3 linked regions of the Pelodiscus sinensis genome follow. The protein of the gene in region 2 purifies or fractionates together with the protein of the main gene of each other region. This does not show direct contact. Links are inferred from orthologs where the notes say so. Each region holds a gene or a part of one and is shown on either strand. Other genes may lie near its edges.

Evidence for each region. Proteins that work in one complex are often made in the same cells at the same time.
Region 1: the proteins of PSMC2 (region 2) and PSMD9 fractionate together in Homo sapiens (co-fractionation; 4 studies listed by BioGRID and IntAct, with this or other methods). This does not show direct contact. The link is inferred for Pelodiscus sinensis from reciprocal best matches to the Homo sapiens genes PSMC2 and PSMD9.
Region 3: the proteins of PSMC2 (region 2) and RAD23A purify together in Homo sapiens (affinity purification with western blotting; 4 studies listed by BioGRID and IntAct, with this or other methods). This does not show direct contact. The link is inferred for Pelodiscus sinensis from reciprocal best matches to the Homo sapiens genes PSMC2 and RAD23A.

What each region holds. Positions count from the first base shown.
Region 1 is NC_134725.1:33,301,576-33,308,422, forward strand, and holds the start of PSMD9 (26S proteasome non-ATPase regulatory subunit 9), read left to right. Parts: upstream 1-3,840; 5' UTR 3,841-3,901; coding exon 3,902-4,009; intron 4,010-5,326; coding exon 5,327-5,429; intron 5,430-6,847. Other genes in the region: HPD (4-hydroxyphenylpyruvate dioxygenase), read right to left, coding at 19-45, 284-286. UniProt on the Homo sapiens protein: Acts as a chaperone during the assembly of the 26S proteasome, specifically of the base subcomplex of the PA700/19S regulatory complex (RC).
Region 2 is NC_134711.1:23,572,211-23,579,841, forward strand, and holds the start of PSMC2 (26S proteasome regulatory subunit 7), read left to right. Parts: upstream 1-4,625; 5' UTR 4,626-4,761; coding exon 4,762-4,831; intron 4,832-7,631.
Region 3 is NC_134729.1:13,037,671-13,045,190, reverse strand, and holds the start of RAD23A (UV excision repair protein RAD23 homolog A), read left to right. Parts: upstream 1-4,513; 5' UTR 4,514-4,581; coding exon 4,582-4,701; intron 4,702-7,520. Other genes in the region: CALR (calreticulin), read left to right, coding at 1-82, 239-352, 1,274-1,417, 1,973-2,065, 2,817-3,023. UniProt on the Homo sapiens protein: Multiubiquitin chain receptor involved in modulation of proteasomal degradation. Binds to 'Lys-48'-linked polyubiquitin chains in a length-dependent manner and with a lower affinity to 'Lys-63'-linked polyubiquitin chains.

The sequences.
Region 1 (6,847 bases), on a different chromosome or scaffold from region 2:
ATGCAATTGTATTCTTACCTTTTCTCCTTTGTCTGTGTAAGTTGTCTAAAGAGATAAATTAAAAAAATGTACATTAATCACCAGAAAACTAGTCCATCAGGTCACTTTTTAGAAAATAAGTGTTCTGAACTGCTTTAAACAGATAAATTAAATAGCCCAGCTTTTCAAAGCACAAACAGTACCCTGAATAACTGAAGACAAACCTATACAAACACAGTGAGAGATTAGCTCATTTACCCCCAATAATGTGTTGCCAGCAAATTTTAAAAAATCTCAACCTCACCATTTTTGTAACCTGACAATGTGGTAGCCCCAAGAGACAGTCAGAGTCTTTCTATGTATTTAATATAGCAATGGGAAGAGAGAAAGCCCCTCCCTGACTCCACCCTTTCTATCTTGTAAACTAAATGATTTACTTGGTTTGAATCATTCTGCCATGGGCTCAGAAATGATAACATGGAGTTCATATTTATGTTGAAAGAAAGAAAAACTGTTTACAAATTCTGAGCCAAGGGTCCAGGTTACTTTAGCTGCAGCTTATCTGTGAATCAAATTATCTAAGGAAAGTCTAAAAAAAAGACCAGATTCTCATCAGAATGTAGTATTAACCCAAAGTAACTCTGTACTTTTGGGCTGTGTCGACACTGGCATGATCTTTCACCAAAGTGGCCACTTTTCCATAAACACATGCTGCCTGTCTACACTGGCGGGGAGTTCTTGCGCAAGAACACTGACGTTCTGATGTGTGAAGTCAGTGCTTCTTGCGTAAGAACTATGACACTCCCGCTCAGGAATAAGCCCTTTTGCGCAACTGTTCCTGCGCAAGAGGCCAGTGTAGACAGGCAACATGAATTTCTTGCACAAGAAAGCCTGATGGCTAAAATGGCCATTGGAGCTTTCTTGCGCAAGAGAGCATCTACACTGGCACGGATGCTCATGCACAAAAGCACATCTCTTGCGCAAAGGCACATGCCAGTGTAGACGCTCTCTTGCGCAAATACTTTAACAGAAGTCTTGCGTTAAATAGTTGCGCAAGATCATGCCAATGTAGACATAGCCTGGATTAACACCAGATTTCACTGATTTTAGCTTGTGGACCATCACATCCCATATCTTTGAAGCAGAACTCTGACAGTGCCAGCATTCACAGATGTTTGCTGCAGGGAGAATTTAAAACCAAAAAATTTACTTGAAGGTGTCTAGGCATTGCTCAGGGAATTGGCAATTGGAATGGGTGCTTTTCAGATCTAGATTACTGCTACAAATCTAGAATAGGAAAGCACTAACCAAAATGTATTATTTGATGGCTGTGCAGTGTACTTGTTTGGCTTCCACCACTATGTCTAATTGACAGCAATTAAGAGGAAAATCAGGCCTCTCATGGATCTGGGAAATCCAGTTATAGTATGGTTTCTTCTTCCCTGCCAGGAAAGAAACAAGCCTGTTATAATTTGTTGCAGGCAGTTAACTTTGGCAGTTAATAGCAGTGGAGCTTGCTTGGGAGACATGGAGAGATACTTTTGGCAAGGAGAGGGCTGGGATCAGAGGACTCAGCTGAACCCCAAGGGAGTTTTCTGTTTTCTCACTTCTGCTTGTTTGATTTGTTTGTAAGGGAAAGACCCAGTTGACTGCTGTGCTGTTTAGTTAAGTCTGCTGATCCTCCCACCATTTCACACACTGTTGTGTCCTCAGGAATAATTCAAGACCAAGATTGTCCAAGCTTTTCACACACTGTTGTGTCCTCAGGAATAATTCAAGACCAAGATTGTCCAAGATCTTCCACAGCTTTTTCTGAGCGCACGCTAGAGCTGGTGACTGCAACAGGCACCCTCCCAAGAAAACTTTTTTTTGTTTCCATTCCCCACTCTCCTTTAAACCACACTCACCAGCAGCCCAATGGGAGATGGAGGAGAGGCCTATTTGGCTACTAGTTTTCAAACTATGGGTTGCAACTGAGTACTGGGCCATGGAATGTCAAGCACTGGGTCTCATTGCTGCAGGGGGATCAGCTAGCTCCCTGCCTGACCTTGCAGCGCAGACTGCACCACAGGCCCAGCTCCTGGAGAGGAGGGGAGAGCATACAGCAAAGTCTGCAATGCCAGGAGGCAGGAAGCTGCCTTAGCACTCCCGCTGCACCTCTGAGAGCCATTCAAGGTCAGCCCCTCCTGCCCTAGCAATGACCCCCACTCAAGCCAGAGCCCCCTCCTACACCTCAAAGCTCTCATCTTCAGCCCCACCCTGGAACCCACAAACCAGTCAAATTATATGGGGTCACAGACATCAACAACTTTCTTCAACTGGGTCTTGAGAAAAAAAAGAGTCTGAAAACCACTGTTAGACTATGATTTAGCCAGCTGACTGCCAGAGTTTAAGTATCCTTCTTTAGTATAGTGTTTTCTGTCCAGCCAAGCAAGAAAACATTGTTTTCTCTGATTGTATTTATTATAATTGGGCAAAATCCCATTTCTTTCCAGTTCAAAGGCAAATCAATGCAAGCATTCTCTGCTCACCCCAACAAGGGTATATCTGAAGTGCCATTCATCCTCATTATGAAATTTCTTGCAAATAAAAACCTTGACAAAACAAAAACACATAACCTAAGAACTTCCACCATGCCTAAAACTAGAAGTAGATGTGCTGAACAGCCAGGCTACGTCTACACTGGCCCCTTTTCCGGAAGGGGCATGTTAATTTCAGCTATCGTAATAGGGAAATCCACGGGGGATTTAAATATCCCCCGCGGCATTTAAATAAAAATGTCCACCACTTTTTTCCGGCTTTTAGAAAAGCCGGAAAAGAGCGTCTACACTGGCCCCGATCCTCCAGAAAAAAGCGCCCTTTTCCGGAGGATCTTATTCCTACTTCAAAGTAGATTCCTACTTCAAAGAAGAAGATTAAAAAAAACAAACCCACTCATAAGCCCTCTCTCCCCGTCCCAGCCCTCCACATGGTCCATGGAAGCCAGCACTGCAGAACTCTTCAAAAGCCGCCAGCGACCATTCCCAGGACACAAAACCGGGACGGAACGATCAGCCTGGAAGCGGCTTCAGTGGAACGTGGCGGACACGTGGGAGCTCGAGAAGGACTTTGCCGCTCCACTTTGTACCCCGCGATGAGCGCTAGTAGCCCCCCCCCCCGGGCTGCCCTGAATGACGTTTCCACTAGAAGTCTCCCTGGCCAAGAGGATGCAGCGTCTGGCGGCGCCGGTCGAGAGGCTGAAATGCTGCAGCCGCTCCCAAGGGGCCAAGGCGCGGGGCGGCAGGTGCCGGGATGATACAGAGAGGGGCGGTGACCGGGGGGACGCTCCCGCGCTTAAAGTGCTTGCAAATCCCCTGCAAGGCCGCAGTGTCCCTCGCCACGTACAGGCGTGGGGGGAGGGGGGGTTGGTTAGTGACCCCTCCCCCCTCCCACGGTGCATTTTAACCCGTGCGCGCCTGACTGGCATTGCAGCCGCTCTCCGGGCCCTGCTGCCCCCTGGCCCCGCCCACGCGCGCCGGGCCCTGCTGCCCCCTGGCCCCGCCCACGCGCGCCGGGCCCTGCTGTCCCCTGGCCGCGCCCACGCGCGCCGGGCCCTGCTGCCTCGTGGCCCCGCCCACGCGCGCCGGGCTCTGCTGCCCCCTGGCCCCGCCCACGCGCGCCGGGCTCTGCTGCCCCCTGGCCCCGCCCACGCGCGCCGGGCTCTGCTGCCCCCTGGCCCCGCCCACGCGCGCCGGGCCCTGCTGCCCCCTGGCCCCGCCCACGCGCGCCGGGCCCTGCTGCCCCCTGGCCCCGCCCACGCGCGCCGGGCCCGCCCACAGCGCGAGGAGGCGGGGCGATGGCTCCGCCCCTCCTCTGCCCCCCCCCCCCGCCCATCCTGCTGCGCGGCGCGTGACGCGCGGGCGGGGGTGGCTGGGTCGAGGCGATGGCGGAGGAGGCCGGGCCCGTGACCATGAGCGACGTGCAGGAGCTGATGCGCCGGAAGGACGAGATCGAGGCCCAGATCAAAGCGTGCTACGCGGTGCTGGAGGGGGTGCGTGCGCGGGGGGCGGGGCGCTGCTGGGGGCCGAGACGCTCCCTGTGTGGGGGGGGGATGCGCGCCCCCGTGCCAGTGTGTTGGGGCGCGTGCCTGTGCGGCCCCGCCCCTGCCGAGCGTGTGGGGGAGGGCGTGCGGAGCTGGCCCTGGCAGGATGCATATGCCTGGCCCGGCCCAGCCCGACTATCACTGCTGGTGCGCAGCCCGAGGCTGCCTGATGCGGGCCAAGCCTGCCCGTGCAAGGCCCCATGGCCACGGGGGAAGGGCACTGCTGTTTGGCACTGCAGGGGTTAACGCAGCACCGCTGCAGGGTGGCCGCTGGGAGCTGGGCGTGCGGTACCTGACGGTAGCTATAAGGGGCGCTGCGCATCCCTTATAGCTGCCATCAGGCGCCCCACATAGGTTGGCATCCCGGGCAGCTGCCCGGCTAGCCCATGCCTTAATCCGGCCCTGTTTGTGTGTATTGGTCTCTCAGGTTAGAGCCTGACAGCCCACATGCACAGGGTTCACTGTAGGGGGTCTCTGTGCAAAGCTGGGCTGTGGCATATGTGCACATTCAGTGAGAGGGGAGAGTTCATGGCGGGGTCTCCCAGGATGGTCGTGGAGCCTCCAGGAATTAAAGATCATTGTTGCGTTCAAGATTATGTTGTGATGAAATGTCAAGGAATGCATCCAGATGGGCAGTCCTCAGGGCAGGGATGGGGTCTGTGCAAACTCAGATCTGCAATGTCCTTACAGACTTCATTTAGTTCATTCTGGTGCAAAAGTAATTGCCTCCTTGGCAAGGCGGGGGGCAGCTCTGGGTCCCCAGAAGGGTGGGGTTGGAGGGATGAGACTCCCCCAGTCAGCCCTTTGTGGGTTCTGTTTCCACATCAGCCAGTAGCCCCAGGGTTTGGGTGGTGATGTAGAGGGCAATGGGAACAGCTGAGAGCACTGGAAGTGATTAGAAGGTCCCCTTCATTCCCCTCTTCCCAGGTTGAGGCCACTGCAGTAGTGACAGCCAGGACCTTTTAAATCAGCAGGGCAGCTGCTCCTTTTGCTTCCCCTGTGGGCAGCCCTGTTAGTGTAGGGTTCAGCAGGGCCACTGATGTTAAAGCACTGCCACAGCAGCACTATAATGTCAGTTGTGTACGAGCCAGTACTGGTAGCTGGTTCTTACCTATATGCTGTACTAACCCACTCTGACCTATGAGTTCAACCTACTAAACAAGCTGTTGAGACCACAGGTGCCATATTTTTGTCCTTTAAAAATGAGAAACAAAATGTAACTTGTCTCAAGAATACTTGACGCATGAAAGTATTTCCATTCTGCAGCAAAAGGGAGTCGGGATGAACGAGCCGCTGGTTGATGCTGAAGGGTTTCCACGTGCAGATGTCGATATATACCAAGTTCGTACAGCCAGGCACAACATTATCTGTAAGCAATTCAGTCCTCAAAAGTATCTTGTCAGGGGCTGAGCTAAATGAAACAGACCACACTTATCAGAAATTTGGTTCTTTTTTTTACAAACATCTGGTTTGGTTCGTTTTGTTTTTCCCATTGGTAAACATAAAGAAATAAAACTGAATACTGTTTACATAAAGCAAAATTATTGATTGGACATTTATATATTTACAACAGTAAGTTTCTTTAGTTTATAATAACAAAATAGATTATTAAAACACTTTATTAGTAAAAATAATTAGTCATCTTTATAGTAATACACTCCTAGTGCTATTTAATATTTTAACTTCATCCAGATTGCAAAATAAAAATGGGTCAGTTTGAGTTTTGTTTCCAAGCAGCTTTTCCCTCTGGTCAGGTACTACAAAAGTTCAAGTAGAGTGGCTCAGTCATAAAAATGAATCTGTTAAAATGTGTGTGCAACATTATTAATGCACCTATTAATGATTAATAAAAACAGTAATATTTTTGTATTATTGTAAAACTTTTCTGTGTTCTTTAGAAAATAAATGTTGGATCTAAACTAGTCAACGTTGTTCCTTTTAAATTTAGTGATTGCTTTGTATTTTGTGGACAAATGTATTATAATAGTCATTGTTTAGAAATAAGTGTTGCATGTAGAGCAGGGTTCGGCAGCTTTTCCAAAGTGGTGTACCAAGATTTAACCCTCCTGTCCTGGGCTGTGCCACTCTCTCGGGGGGGCTCTCTCCACCGTGTGCCCTGCTTGGTCTCCTATCCTGGACTGTATTTCAGCTTTTCCTGCACCTGGGGCTAATGCTGCTTTGGGGTCAGAGGACCCCCACATGCATTTTCCTCTCCCCTGAGCCGCTGCCACCCAGCCCCGGAGCTACAGCCCGAGCAGCACTCACCCTCTAGTGGGGGCCCCGTGGTGGTGGTGCTAGCGGTGGGACGTGACTTCAGCACTGTCTTTAGCCCGCCTGCCAGGGACATCACGAGGCAGAAAGGGAGGAAAGTGGAGCAGGGAGTGCTGAAGCTGTAGGGCTAGGGCTGTGCAACAGGGCGGAGACTGGCAGGCTGGAGGATGCAGGGACGGGACTCCCAGGTGAACGTGTTGGACGGGCTGGAAGGCAGCTCCTCACACCCCCTACCGAAGCAGGAAAACTGCGTCCTAGAATGAGCCCCCTCCTTACCGCATCTGTTGCACTCCAGTCCAGCTCCAGCCTGCCCCACTCCCTCACATGGCCTAGCAGCCCTGCTCTGCCATGTCCAGCCGCCCTTGGAGCAGCTCCAGCCCCTGGAACAGTCATGTTCCTCCATGTGGGCTGGCTGCCCCCAGAGCAGCTCCAGCCTCCAAAGCAGTGGCCTGCTATGCAGCCCGGCTGGTCAGGCTGTGTGACTGCCACGGAGCAGGAACTGGGGAAGCAGCGAGG
Region 2 (7,631 bases):
TTTAGAGAGAACCATGGTTCACTCTGAGTCCTGCATGCCCCTTGCAGGATGGGGGAAGGTAGTGAGATATTTTGCGTGTTCCCCGAGGCCATCACTGGCCTGGGAACAGGGGGAGTGCACAAATTCTCTGTCATCAGGGCACTGGTGCCTAGAGGAAACTGCCAGCTGTTTAAAACAGCTAGCAGTTGGGGGAGAGGAGGAAAGACTTCACGCACTCCTCCACCCCCAGGCACATCAGGGTATGTGGGCAGGGGAGTTCGGAAGTGTCCTGGCCCTGCCCTTTCCAGGGTGGCCCAGCCCCCCTTCTAAAATTATTTCCCCCTCCCCCGGGGTAGGGTGTTGCAGGATGTGGGGGATGCAGGAGTCAGGGCTGGGGTTGGAGGAATTCAGGAGTCATGGTGGAATGGCTGAGAAATGGGGGCTCAGAACAGGGCAGATGTGGGGGATGGTGCAGGAGTCAGGGCAGAGAGCTGTGGTGTGTGTAGGAGAAGGAAAGAGTGCTGTTTTGGGAGGGCAGAGGGGCTGCAGCTCTGCATACCCAGACATTGCTGCTCTTCTTTCCCTTCAGCTATCAAGGAGCAAGGGGAGAGTACACAGCTTGCATGAATTGCCCTTCCCCTAGGCAGCTGGGAAAGGAATGCATGCATGCACTTTTCCCTTGCTCCCTGATAGTCAGGGGAAGGGGAAGGGAAAGAAAAGTAGCAGAGTCCAGGGTACTTGTGTCTAAAGCTCCCAACCTTCCCTACAGGCAGGGGCAGATGACCGTTTTGCGGGGCCCCAGGCAACATAATTCCGTGGGGCCTACCCTTTGCCACGGCGCATGCGCGGGGCTTTCTGAAGCGCGGGGCCCGGGGTGGCCGCCCCGTTCGCCCTGCCCTATATCCACCCCTGCCTACAGGGCACCTTAGGGGGCGGGGCCCAGGGCTGGGACAGTCCTGGATCATTGTGTGTGTGTGTGTGTGGGGGGGGAGGAAGTCACTTCTCCAGCCAGCCCCTTTCACCTGCCTGCTGCTTATCACTGCAGTCTATAGGAAGCCCTGGAAGCCTGGCTGGGAGTGGCTGTTTTTCTTCCTGCAGATGAGTGTCCCAGCTGGCTAACTTCCTGCTGGAGCTGTGCACCCTCTTATTTTCACCTCTGCTTTCCATTAGCACCCCACTATAAAAATGGTTCCAGCACACCTGCTTAGCAGGGGGTCCAGGTGGGAAAGTGGGCCATAATAGGTTGGGGGCCTGGGTGCATTGGTTAGGATTCCGTGAGGTGGGGGTTTGAGTGGCAAGCTCAGCAGGGGTGGTTTGCATGCAGGTGTGAGACATGGCGGTGGTGGTGGAAGGCTTGCATGAAGGGGTTTCAGTGGAACAATTTTGGAACCCCTTCATGCAAGCTCCCCATGGAATTTTGAGGCTTAATGAGGTGATATGCTGGTTGGAATGCGTGGGGGTGAGCAGATGGGAGAGCAGCTCCCCATACACTGACCCCTCACCCCATGGCTGAGGAGCAATGGGGGCAGAAACCAGGGGTGTGTGTGCACACTGAGTTTCCTGGAGCAAGTGCAGGTTTCTGGGGGTAGGTCTGACCTGGCCCTAGCTACTTCTTGCAGGGCAAGAACAAGTACTGTCCTTTGCCAGCCAGGCTGGGACTAGCAGTTGAACCTGGCACATAGTACAAGCCACTGGCTATGGCATTGTCATCTCTGCTCTCCATCTCATTGTGATTTACCTCTGCTGCCTGTTTTAGGTGCCTGAAATAATGCACCCATGCTGGTGGGGAGGGATGGTCTGACTGCTCTTGCAGTTTCCCTGTGCTTCCAAGTCAGAAGTCATTTTTCTATAGAGAAGCAAAGAAATCTGTGGGAGCATGAATTCTGCATGTGCACACAGTGACATAGACTTTCCCTAGGGCTACGTCTACATTGGCATGATTTTGCGCAAATACTCTTTAACGCAAGAGTTCTTATGTTAAAATATTTCCAAGAGAGAGCATCTACACTGGCATGTGCCTTTGTGCAAGAGATGTGCTTTTGCGCTAGAGCATCTGTGCCAGTGTAGACGCTCTCTTGCGCAAGAAATTCATGTTGCCTGTCTACACTGGACTCTTGCGCAAGAACAGTTGTGCAAGAGGGCTTATTTCTGAGCGGGAACATCATAGTTCTTGCGCAAGAAACACTGATTTCACACATTAGAACATCAGTGTTCTTGCGCAAGAACTCCCCGCCAGTGTAGACAGGCAGCATGTTTTTGCGCAAAAGCGGCCGCTTTGGCACAAAATTGCGTCAATGTAGACACAGCCTAGGAGTAGTGGGGACAGAGCCAATAATGGTGCTGGGAGAACCAGGCAATGCCTTCTCATTGAGTCCAGTGGGGAAGCAGCATAGCTCATACAGAATGGCTTGGGACACAAGAAGTTGTCTTCTTTGTTTATATAGTATTGCCAACTTCAATAGGTCAAAAATCTTAAGTTGAATCACCAAAAATAATGATTGGCCCCAAAATAATGATATTTAAAATATATAATTATCTGCCCATGTTTTCTCAGAGTAGTAATAATTTTGAAAATTAACATTTGATAGAAATATTTTGTTCAATCACAGGCTGCTTTTAGAAACTGAACCAACAGAAAAATAAACCACTTGCAAATCTTAGCAAAGTGAGGAAAGTGGACTCTGGGGCGATGTCTACACTCGCGGCTTCTTGCGTCAGAAATATGCAAATGAGGCTAAGCGTGGAATATCGCCAAGCTCATGTGCATACCTAATGAACTGCCATTTTTGCAGAAGAGGCTCTTGCTCCAGAAGGAGCTGTTTACACTGCCCCTTCTTGCGCAAGAAAAACCCTCTTGTTTAATGCCGTTATTCCTGAAAATAATTGGTGTAATGGCATTGTGCAAGAGGGTTTTTCTTGTGGAAGAAGGGGCAGTGTAGACAGCTTCTTCTGGCACAAGACCCTCTTCTGCAAAAATGGCGGTTCATTAGGTATGCAAATGAGGCTCAGCGATATTCCACGCTTAGCCTCATTTGCATACTTCTGACGCAAGAAGCCGTGAGTGTAAACATAGCCTGGGTGGGGTACGGGGAGAGAAGATGGATAATGAGATGGATAAAGTGTCTGGCCTGGAACTGGGCACTGGTGTTGTGGCATGAAATAAGGGTGGTTAGAACCTACCACCCCTACAAAAACTAATCTGCTGCTGTCACAATATGAAGTTGAATAAAATTGAAGTTAACCATAATATAGCATCAGGGGAAAACTTAAACAATGAATAGTCTAGCTAGCAGCAGCTTAAAGACTAACAAAACATGTAGATAGTATCATGAGATTTGAGGCACTAGGGGTCACATGCCCCTGAATGTGGTGGGCAGAAGGGGAAAGGTGTCAGCCAGCAAAGGAACTAAATGGGGGGGGAGGGGAGATGGTGCTCATTACAAGGGTCCATTCTTTTTACATTCATTAGTAGCGGCAGAAGAAGTGGAGCAACATGGCCCCAGCTAGTTCTGTTCTCCCTCTGTGCCACTGTCGGGCATGGGCAGGATCACTCCCATATCTACTGTCACATAATTGGCCTGGTTAACATTGGTCTTACATTTGATAAGCAACTCCCTTCTTCTTCTTCTTCTTCTTCGAGAGTGTGTGTGTGTGTGTGCATGCACGCGTTCATGTGCATGCACGTGCGCTCAAATAAATCTCTAAAGGATAGTCTACACTGGCAGCTTCTTGCGCAAGAACTCTTTTGCGGAAGAGTTCTTGTGCAAAAACTCTTCCAGAAGAGAGTGTCTACAGTGGCATGTGCTTTTGCAAGAGCATCCATGCCAGTGTAGATGCTCTCTTACGCAAGAAAGCTCTGATGACCATTTTAACCACAGTGCTTTCTTGCACAAGAAATTCATGTTGCCTGTCTACACTGGCATCTTGTGCAAGAAAGTTGCACAAAAGGGCTTATTCCTGAGCGGGAGCGTCAGAGTTCTGGCGCAAGAAGCCCTGATTTCACACATTAGAACATCAGTGTTCTTGCGCAAGAACTCCCCGCCAGTGTAGACAGGCAGCATGTTTTTGTGCAAAAGCTGTTGCTTTTGCACAGTGTAGACACGGCCTTCGTATTTATGGTGCCACAGGACGACTCCTCGTTTTTACAATAGTTGGTGTTTCATAGAAAGAGCCAGCTTCGGGAGTCAATTGCCTACAGGAGAATCTCAGCTTCCACTAAAAACAAACGCTGCAGGCGAGGAAAGCAAAGCCCCTTGCACGCCTGGCTCGGAGCAGAAGGAAGAGTCCCTGTGTTCTTTTAATCCGCTCACCATGGTTGTTAAGCCAAGCGCCAGACAGGGTCCCCGAGGGGCTGCGCAGCAGGGTCCCCATGCTGGTGCCTGGCTCTCCTGCTTCCCCTGAGAGGTGCCCGGGCCAGCGTAGCAGGCAGAGTGGGCGGGGGCAGACAGCTGAGAGACCCGGGAGGGGGAAGAAAGCCCCGGGGCACCGCCCCGCCCTACCAGAAGCGATGCCGGGGAAACAAGACCCACTTGCGTCTTCCGCTTGGCTGCGTCGAACGCTACCCACTCCCCTCCCCCTCCCCCTTTCGCGGGGTTGCTTCCGGTACGAGGCGGAAGGGCCCCATGCTGCGGCTCAGGAGTCCCTTCAGGCGCTGCGCGCGGCGGCCTCGCCGGAGCGGAAGCTGGCTGAGGCGCTGTGTAATGCATCCGGAGGCGGGGCGGCGCCTGCGCAGTGCCTCGGGAGCGGGAGGAGACGCTCGCAGGGAGCCGTGCGGCCGCCGGGATGCCGGACTATCTAGGCGCCGATCAGCGCAAAACCAAGGAGGAGGAGAAGGAGGACAAACCCATCCGCGGTGAGGGGTCGGGGCCCTGTATCCAGCGACCTCGGCCTGCCCTGCGGGTCCTTCCCCTCGGGCTCCGCTGCGCTGGCGACGCCCGCAGTCGTTCCCGGGCTGGTCTCTGGCCCCACCGAGCGCCGGGCCCGGCGAGCTGGGCGGAGCGTCTCCGCCGTCGGGGAGGCAGCCGAGCCGCAGAGCGAGTCCGTCACTTAGTGAGGCGCCCAGGACTCGGGGTCTCACCTCAGTTCTGCTGGGTCAGGAGCTGCCCGGCCTCCCCGACGCTCCTGTGCGGGTTCCCGAGGCTTGTCAGCCGCCCTGGCCAGTAGGGGTGTTAGCGAGTATTGACTGGAGTATTGACTACTCGCTCCCATCCCCCGCCTTTTGCCTCTGAGAGGCGGGGGGTACAGGCAGGGATGTAAGCGACTAGTTGCCCCTCCCCCGTGCTGCCTCTGTCGGAGAGAGCCAGCAAAGGGGAGGGAGCAGAAGCCGGTGCTGGGGGAGCTGGCTGGTTCCTCCCCAGCACCGTCTCCACAGAGAGCAGAGGAGGCAGAGGCACAGTAGGAAACAGTAAGCAGGGACTGAAGCAATCTCCACTTGCGCCACTGTGGTGATTCTGCTTTTGAAATGTACAAGAGCCATAGCTGAGTTCTTGTATATTTCAAAAGCAGAAACCCCATAGAGGCAGAGGCCAATGGGGGATTCCTCTGCTAGCTCCATGCTCCCTGAAGAGCTTCCTTTTGAAATATACAAGAGCCCCACTGGGTCTCTTGTACATCTCAAAGTCTCAGATGCCACAGGGAATGCAGAGCGGGTCTCCCACTGGCCTTGTGCTCCCTGGCAGGGCTTTTGCTACAGTTCAAAGGTGAAGGCACCCTTATAGACTCATTGAATAGTCAATGGAAATCCCATTGACTATACAGTTAGTTAATTAATCTCAATTTAACATACATGGAAACAGGAGCCTGTGCTGGGGGGATCCAGCTTAATAGCTGCTTTCCCCCAGCACCCGCTCCATGTGCTGCCTCCCCCTCTAAACTCTGCTGCCTTTATCTGCCTTCGGCAGGCCAAGGCTTGCCATGGGCAGATGCTGCTTCAGCAGCAGCCCCTGCCCATGGGGGTCCCAGTGGGGCACTGCCTCCTCTTCTCCCCCTCGGACAGAGGCTGCTCTAGCAGCAGCCCCTATGCTGAAGCAGCTTCTGTTCACAGCAGCCTGGGATGGCTGCCGCAAACAGGGACTGTTGGACTCAGCACGTGCTGGGACCGCTCGCTGTTTTGGGATGCTGCACCTCTGCATTTTAAATGTAGTAAGAGTCTGATGGTTCAGTCCTGATTTGAGCTGACTGCTGGAGCAAGCCCCGTGGCTCTGCAGAGTGCTCCTTATCAACTAACTGTGTAGTCAATGCAATTGTATCGACTACACGATTAGTCAGATAACTGCAATTTAACATTGCTAGTACACAGTGGCTGGCCCAGGTTAGCGGCCTTGCATTCACTAGGCTTGGGCTGAAAATTGGCTATGTAGACATGAGAAGGTAGGGTCTCACGTAGGGATGCAAACGAGTAGTCAACTAGTCCAGGCTTATCAGTTAATCTTCTTGACTTTTTGCATTTCTCCCCCTGCCTCAGAAGCAGCAAGAGGGGGAAGCAGGAAGGCTGCGCAAGTCTAGATGCGGATCTGTCAAAAATAAACCCTTTTTCGACAGATCCTGTAAATCTCATTTTTTGAGGAATATAGGATCTGTCAAAAAAGGTTTTATTTTTGACAGATCTGCATCTAAACTGCCATTTTTTTGAAAAAGCTCTGTTTTGAAAAAAAGCGGTGGCCATATTTATGCGGGATATTTAAATCCCTGCTTCATTAACAATTTTGACATGCTTGATTTGCACCCCTCTGTCGACAGAGGGGGATGCAGTCTAGACATAGCCTTAATGTTTCTGGGCCTCCATTCCTTTCCTTAAAACAGAGGTAATAACATTTCCCTACCTTCCAGAAGTGTTGGGAGGATAAAAGTTGTGAAGCACTTGGAGATCTACTGATGGAAACAGCACTATCTGAGTAAACATCAGCCAGTCTTGCAATGCGATTGCTCAGAAATGTGAGCATCATCTAGCTAACATGTCTGTGGCTGCACTCATGCAGCATGCACTTTGCCATCAAGCACTGAATAAATTGAGGGATTCTCACTTTTGGGAGACTCCTGTATCTTATCTGCAAAACCTTTGTGTCATGTTCTGCTCTCTAACAATCAAATTATTAGATTCATGTAATGACTCTTACTCTTTGTTGATAACTTCAGTACAGGAGCATCTTGATTTTGAAATAGGGTCTTGTTCTTTCCGTCACTGAAATATAACATTATCCTGTTAATTAATTGCTTGGTGTGCAAGTATGTATTGAGTTATATACAGTCTAAGTACCTATGAGTGGTTAGCGTTAGAACAAATGACCTCTGGATTTTGGACAATTGTTGGGATAATCAAGAAGCAGAACTTGATCCATTTGTTTATTATACTCCCTTTTCTCCAGGCCCTTGTTAAGCTTGTTAAGCCCTTGGGTAAACTGCTTTCATGTTGGATATGTTGGTGCACAATAGATAACAATGCAGTACTTCTACTCAAGTCTTACTTGCTGGGATCAAGCTGGAGAACTTGTCTAACTCCTCCTTGTTCTTGAGTACTGTGCAATAAAACCAGATATTCTAGTTTAGTGTTTAAAAATAAAATAACACCAGCTCTCCCTCTCAGTATCAAAGGGGTCCTGTGGATGTGTGCATTTGCATCTTTTAGAAGCAAAATGAGATGCATTTAATTTGTT
Region 3 (7,520 bases), on a different chromosome or scaffold from region 2:
GATCAAGGATCCTGAGGCCAAGAAGCCGGAGGACTGGGATGAGAGGGCCAAGATAGATGACCCTGAGGACACTAAGCCTGAGGTGAGCTGGGGGGCTGCAGATATAGGGCTGGACACAGGCTGGCATTGTGGTGCTCCATGTGGCCAGCTGGTGGGGACAGATTGTAGGGGAGAGAGGAGGGCTTTGTGCCCCCCAGAGGGAGGAGTTGACAGCAGATCTCTTCCTCTGCCCCCTCAGGATTGGGATAAGCCCGAGCACATTCCCGACCCTGACGCCAAGAAGCCGGAGGACTGGGATGAGGAGATGGATGGGGAGTGGGAGCCTCCAGTGATCCAGAACCCAGAGTACAAGGTGAGGCTGGGATCCCTCACTGTAAACTTGCACAAATGCTGTGGCTTCCTGAGTGGAGGAGCCATGGGCTGTGCAGCTCTGCTGCAGTCTGTGCTGTGCATCCATGTAGCCGTGGATGAGGTCTGAGGTCTGACTCTCGCCCCTTACTGCATTGGATTGACATGAGCCTCATCAACGCATCCTGCCCTTGCAGTCCTAACCCCCCCAACGCCTCTGTGCAGTGCCAGTGAGCAGTCCTTTCCTGGTGCCACCTCCTCCCTCTGCAGGGGGGGAGGAGATGGAGTCTTTAATGCCCCTTCCATCTATTGCAGCAACACTCTCCCAGTCTGACCAGCTGCTGGCAGAGCTGGTAAGGGAGGCTGTGAAGCGCTCCAAAGAGCAACCTGGGAATGTACCTTGGTTCTCACTTGGCATGTGGCAATTTAGGGTCAGATTGACAATTTGAGGCAATTTAGGCAGAGGGGTTGTTGGATCATTTAGTCTGATGGCCTAACACAGGCTACAGAACTGCCCTGCAGTAGTTCCTAGAGCTGAGCTCCTGAGAGCTTCAGGCATGAGTTAAAGCCTGCCAGTGACTGAGAATCCACCATGCTCTTTGGTTCAGGGCTCCGGCCCTGCCTGGGGAGAATCCAGGGTGCTAGACTGGGCATCCTCTGGGGCAGGCTCAGTTGATGTCCAGATGGCTCTGAAACCAGCAGTAAGTGAGGCCTTGAGCTCCTGCTCGCCTGAAACTCTGGGCCCGTGAGCCTCAGTGTAGGGCATTGCATAAAGGAGACAGCTTGTCCCACTCTTGGCGCTGTAAAACTTGCAGGCAGAGCTGCTTGTCCCAGTCTCTGGCCTCTCCCCAGATCTCCCTTGTTGGAGATGAGGTGAAATTCCTTTCCCGGCTCACTTGATTTCTCACATGCTTTGGCTTCCCAGGGGGAGTGGAAACCCCGCCAGATCGACAACCCTGATTACAAGGGAAAATGGGTGCACCCTGAGATCGACAATCCAGACTACACCCCTGACCCCAGCCTGTACTCCTACGACAACTTTGGTGTCATCGGCTTGGACCTATGGCAGGTACGCTCCTCCCCAGAGGGCTGGCCGGAGTGAGAATTGGAAAGCCCTAGCAGTGGCATCGGCCTGATGCCACCTGGCACTGGGGGTTGTGGGGAAATTCCCCTAACTCGGCTCTGCTTCTGGCTGAGTCCCTGGAGCACCAGCTGCAGTAAAGCACTGGAGTATCCAGTCTGATGGGACCTGGGCCTTGTACTTGGCTGTGCTGCAGGCAGACAGCTTAGCCTGCCCTCAGACTGCTGGCTTCTTGCATCAGAATGCTTCCCTCACCAGAAAACAGCTCTGTACGGATACAAAGTTGGTATCTGCATCCGCACCTGCAGCACTTGGTGGATTTGCAGGGCTCTATGAAACACATGCTTGTACTTTGCCCAATCCTTGAGAATTCAGCCTCTACTGTGGTTGAGAAGCATGAAGCTCTTTTCTGGCAGGACTTTTACTCCACCCTTTCTTGCTGAATGACACCCTCCCCACCCCATACTTGGAGCAAGCTGGGTGAGGTTGCGCTGAGGCTCTGTGCAGCCAGGAGCAGCCAGTCACTAGTTCTCTGCTTTTCAGGTGAAATCTGGCACCATCTTCGACAACTTCCTGATCACAGATGACGAGAAGTTCGCTGAGGAGTTTGGCAATGAGACCTGGGGGGCCACCAAGGTACTGGCTAACCTGGGGGAAGGCGCTTCTGTTCCCTGCCAGAAGGGATTCCCCTTGCCAGCACCTGTCTCCTCCCTCTGGGCCAACATTGGGGAAGCACTGCTCTGAGCCAGAGCCTGCCCATGGTCCCCTCCTCCCACCAGTTGGGCGGGCTGGCAGGCAGTGCAGTGACAGTCACCCCCTGGGGCTGTCCTCTGTTCCCAGTGAAGCACCTCTTAAGCAGGACTAGCTGAGTCCAGTGGTTTACTGTTGACTCTTCAGTGTTAACTCGGTGGTGGGCAGCTGTAATAAGCCACCTCTGAAATCTGGTATTGGGGGGCAGGGAGAGGAGGCCAAGTAGCTTCCATAAATGTCCTGAAACACAAATCCTGTAATGGCTGCATACCCTCTCTGAATAGACAGGGTGTCAGGAGGGGGGCTACAGCTGGAGCAGGATTCCTGACCTGTGAGGTGAATGTCTGAGCCAAGCCATGAAGGTGTAACGTGGTCTGCAATTGCGGAGAGGTTGGAGTCCAGTCTCCTAGCTCGCTGAGTTCTTGCAGTGTCTCCTTATTACTTGGCCCAAACTAGTCTGAGGACAGCACCATTCTCCTTGTGCAGATGGGAGAAACAGAGGCCCAGAGGCAAAGTGACTTGGTGAAGGCTACCCAGGGGATCTGGCAAAGCAGGGAGTCCCAGACTAGTGCCTAAACCACTTGCCCTATGCTTCCTCTTCCTTTTGCCTAACTTATGTTGCCATCCATCTCACCAGGATGCTGAAAAGAAAATGAAGGAGCAGCAGGACGAAGAGCAGCGGAAGAAACAAGAGGAGGAAGATAAGAAGCGGAAAGAGGAGGAAGGGGACGAGGAGCCCGAAGGGGAAGATAATGAAGATGAGGATGATGATGATGACGACGAACCCGAGCCTGAGAAGGAGGAAGAGGAGGAAACGGAGGGACCAGTGAAGGATGAGCTGTAGAAGGCGGTTCCCACAGCACCACTCCTCTGCTGAGCCTCACCCTGGACCGTGTGGCTTGCTTGGTTAAACCCAAATAAGGAGGGGGGAGGGGATACAGTAATGTCTCTGTGAGACTTGAACTTTTTTATTGGTGTTTCTGTTTGTGTTTTTTTTTTTTCACATGCCCCCAATGCCATCAACAATCCATTCATGTCAGTACAGCTCTAGGCCCTGCAGGGCATGAATGTATGGTAAAGTTAACAGTAGAAACTTAACCCTTGGTTCAGGCAAGAATGGCAGCATGGAATACTTCTACTGGTGGCGAGCTTCTCTACTGGCTGGCTTCAGGTGCTCTGCAAAGGGGCATATAGGAGGCAGAGTATCTCTCCTTCCCCTTCGCCAGTCCCTTACCTGCCCTGTCCCTCAAAGTTTAGTCTCCCTGAATGGGTGGGGAGGTTGATTGTCTTTTCCTCTGTTCTCAAGCACGGGGGTGGGAGTCTGCAAGACTGCAGTATTATGTCTCTTTTCAGCAGTCTGTTCTAGGGAACTGTAGCTGTGGGGAGAGCTCTTGCTCAAAGTGAGTGGCTCAATCCATTCCCCCTAGCTCACTGCTGCACTTTTTTTATAACTGCAGCATCTGTCCTGGCCTCTCTTGCAGCCACAGCTGGTGCCAAAGCCAGTTCAAATGCAGGTGATAGTAACTCTAAGCAATTTCTCCCCTCCCCTTCTTTTGGGATGCTGAAGCAAACAGCCCTGCTACCCTCCACAATCCCCCTAGAAATTGCATAGAGCTATTGGCACAGCGGTGGGGAAATGGCACTGGTAAGAGTGAGGAGACTGTTGTCTGGGTGAGGGAGGTTGCTGGGGGGGAGGGCACTTACAGTGGGTAAGGGAGTAGAGTTCGGAGTCCAAATCTTACTACGAAATAAATATATTGGGTGGGGGAGGGGAATGAAGGGACGAGGTGGGGGCTGGGAGGCTTCTCATGTTCACTTGAATGTATGAATGATTGAAGATTTCTATTAAATTAAATCCTGTGTCTGGCCTGTGACCTGGTTTCCCTGGGCTCTCTGCTGGGCGGGGGCTAGGGGGCAAGCTCAGCTGGAGGGGGCCAGCGCTAAGGCCGAGTCCAAGGGCTCCAGCTGGGACCTCCAGCCAGTCACCGAGCGGCGGCAATCTCCGGGGGGGCGGGGCTGTAGCTCACGCAGCAGCAGGGCCCCCCCCCCCCCCGTCGTGGGAGCTTGCTATTGGTCGGGGGGGGGGGCGGTCTAGCAGGGGCCTCTGGCCAGCGGGGGCGGGAGCTGCGCGGCAGGTTTGAGCTGGGGCGGGGCTCCCCGCTCAGCCATGTTAGCCCGCTCGGGCGTCCATTTTGTGTTCCCTTATCACGTGAGCCCCGTGTTGCTGTCACGCGGTTGGCTGAGCCCCCGTCATGTGAGGCGTCGCGGGTACCGTGTCACGTGGTCGCGACGCCCGCCCCGTCACGTGAGGGAGGCCACGCGCGTGCCCCGGTCACGTGGCGGGCTTGCCCCGGCCGGGGCCGGAAGCGGCGGGGCGCTAAGATGGCGGCGGCGTGAGTTGCATGTTGCGGGGCTGCGAGTCCGCTGGCACGAAGCGCCCGGCGCGCGCCATGGCGGTGACCATCACGCTCAAGACGCTGCAGCAGCAAACCTTCAAGATCCGCATGGAGCCCGAGGAGACGGTGAGGGCCCGCGTGGGGGGGGGGCAGCCCCCCCGCCCGGGGCAGCCCCGCCCCGCCCCCCCGCAGGTAGGGCAGCCCCCCCGCCCGGGGCCGCCCCGCCCCGCCTCCCCGCAGGTAGGGCAGCCCCCCCGCCCGGGGCCGCCCCGCCCCCCCGCAGGTAGGGCAGCCCCCCCGCCCGGGGCCGCCCCGCCCCCCCGCAGGTAGGGCAGCCCCCCCGCCCGGGGCCGCCCCGCCCGGTCCTGAGTGGAACGGTCCCGGCTTCTCTCTGCTGTGGGGGGCAGCCCCCCCCCCCTTGGGCCGTGCTCGTGGGCCGGCCCCTGCCGGGGGATGTGACGCGGGGCCCTGGCTTGGGGGGCAGCCGAGCTACCCCGGTCCCCCCCCCATCCTGGGGCTCTGGCCCACGTGGGACCCCGCAGGCCCCTGCTCGCTCCTATGCGCCAGGGCTGCGTTGCTGGGGGCCTGCCGCGTGGACGTGGGGGGGAGCCAGTCTCCGTCTTGCTTTGGTCCCCTGCCCTGCCGGTGGGGGGCTCCCCGGCCTCCCGCTTCTCACGCCCAATGGGGTTGCACAGCACAGCGGCTGCTGCTGCCCCCTCGCCTGTCCCCGACCCGCGGCAGGCTGTCGATTCCTCTGAAGCTGCTGCAGGGCCGTCAACTCCCATGGGATGTTCGAGATGAGACCTTAATAGTCTCATAATCCGCATTCACGTGACTGACCTCCAAGATGACTGAAGTGCATCGAGGGGGCCGAGCTGCTAACTCTTGGGGCTAACATGGCCTAGTGACTAGAGTGCTGGGCTTGCACTCAGGAAAGCTGGGATCAGTTTCTGGCTCTGCCACTGGTTTGTGAGGGAGGGCGACCTGACCAAAGTCATTTCTGCTTCCCCGGCCTTAATTTCCCCATGTGTAGCACCCGGGAGAATGGTACTCACCTCGTTTGTGAAGCCCTTGGAGACCGATAGATGACCAGAGCCTTATGAGAGCTAGGATTTATTAACACACTCTGCTCCACATCCTGCTCCAAGGTGGCAGGGGACACAGAGCTGACCAGGTAGCACCAGTAACAGGAGCGTCACATTCTTGTCTCTGTGCCGGAGATGTCGTTTGGCTTTCATGGGAGCTTTGCTTGTGGGCAGCGTGTCTGGCATGGCTGCAAACTCCTTTTCTTTGGCTCTGTGGAAAGACGATCCCTGTGTTTTTCTGTTGAGACTTCTGGTCCCGGGGTGGGGAAGATGGAAAGTCCCCATGCTGGTGTTTGCATATGGGGTGACTGGGCGCTTTGTGCGCACCTCAGCAGCGCTCGGTTTGAATGACTTGGGAAGTGCTGATGGATGGGGCTGCGCGGCTGTTCCAAGCTCTAGTACCAGGGTGGGATGGAGTGAGTAGAGCAGTGGTTTTCAAACCGGGTCACGACCCAGCACTGGGTTGCGGAATGCCAGGCACTGGGGTCTTGTGGCTGCATGGGGGCGGGGGGCTAAGGTAGCTTGTCACCTGTCCTGGCACTGCAGACTGCGCTGTGCCCCTGAAGCGGCCGAAGCAGGCTTGGCTCCTTGGTAATGGTGGGAGGGGAGCACACAGGGCTTTGTGCCTGCTCCAGCCCCAAGCACTAGCTCCGCACTCCCATTGGCTAGGAACCTGCTTCTGGGGCACAGCATGATCTGCAGTGGCAAGAGAGGCAGGGAGGTGGTTTAGCCTGCCCACTGATCTCCCTGCAGCCACGAGACTCTAGTGCTTCCCCACTGCACCGCTGGCCAAGAGTCACTTGAGGTAAATTCCTCCTCCCTCCCCCCCAGCTTTGACTCAACCCCATCCCGGAACCCACACTTTAGTCAAGTGAAGTTGGGGTGCACCAACACATTTCTTCAACTGGGTCATGAAAAAAAAAAGTTGGAAAACTCCTGGAGTAGAGGGTGGTGGCGGGGAGATTCTTCTCCCTCCAGACAGACAGCTGGTGTCACAGGCTGAGCTGAGATTGAGAACAGGCCTTGGCTTCCGCAGGGGGTGGAGACCTGCACTCAGGCCTGCTCTGCTTTGTGCTTTCCAGAGAGTTGATTTGAAGGGGCTCGCGGGGGTACGGAACTTACGGATGGGTGTGATGCACGTAGCAATAAACCCCAGCAAGCCGACTCTTTCCAGGAACCCTCTTGTCCTGCCCTTTGAAATCTTCCTAGTTCCTTTTGCAGCTGAGAAACTTCTTTTGGGGGTCAAAGGGATTTCAAATGGTTTTGTGGCTTTAAGGCAGAAACTGATTGCTGGACAGCTCCCTTCCCATGTACAGCTGTAAACGGTCTCTGGTGAGACCAGGAGGGCAGGGGGAGGAATAGCTGCCGGATGTTTAATGCGGCTGAGGGGCTGAACTCGGGTTAAGAGGGTCTGTGTTGAGTTTTCAGCTCTGCTACAAACTGCCTGTGTGATCTGAGTACATCTGGTCGTTGTTCTGTGCCTCAGTTTCCCCTGTATAATGGGAGAGGGTGGCATGTAATAACCCTTCCCTTGTTTTTCTCTGTTCGGCCTGTGAGCTTTTTGGGGTAGGAATTCTCCATAGCTGTGCAATGCGGTGCAACCCCGATTTCTGTGAGAGCCTGCAGACCCTTCCAGATTACGAAGAGCGTATTTAGAAGGATTTTTGGTGTCTGTCTTAATGCAGATTGGCCCCTGGCAATAAGGAGGCCCTAGCTGCCAACAAGGAACGTGCTGTCTGAGGTGCAGGGCACGTACAGCTGAGTGAAACCGGTTAAAAACCAAGTTGAACCTGGTGCGCCTGTTTTTGTGGGGCGAGCCGAGAGGCAAAAAGGGATTGGGTGACGTCAATAGGCCAGCTT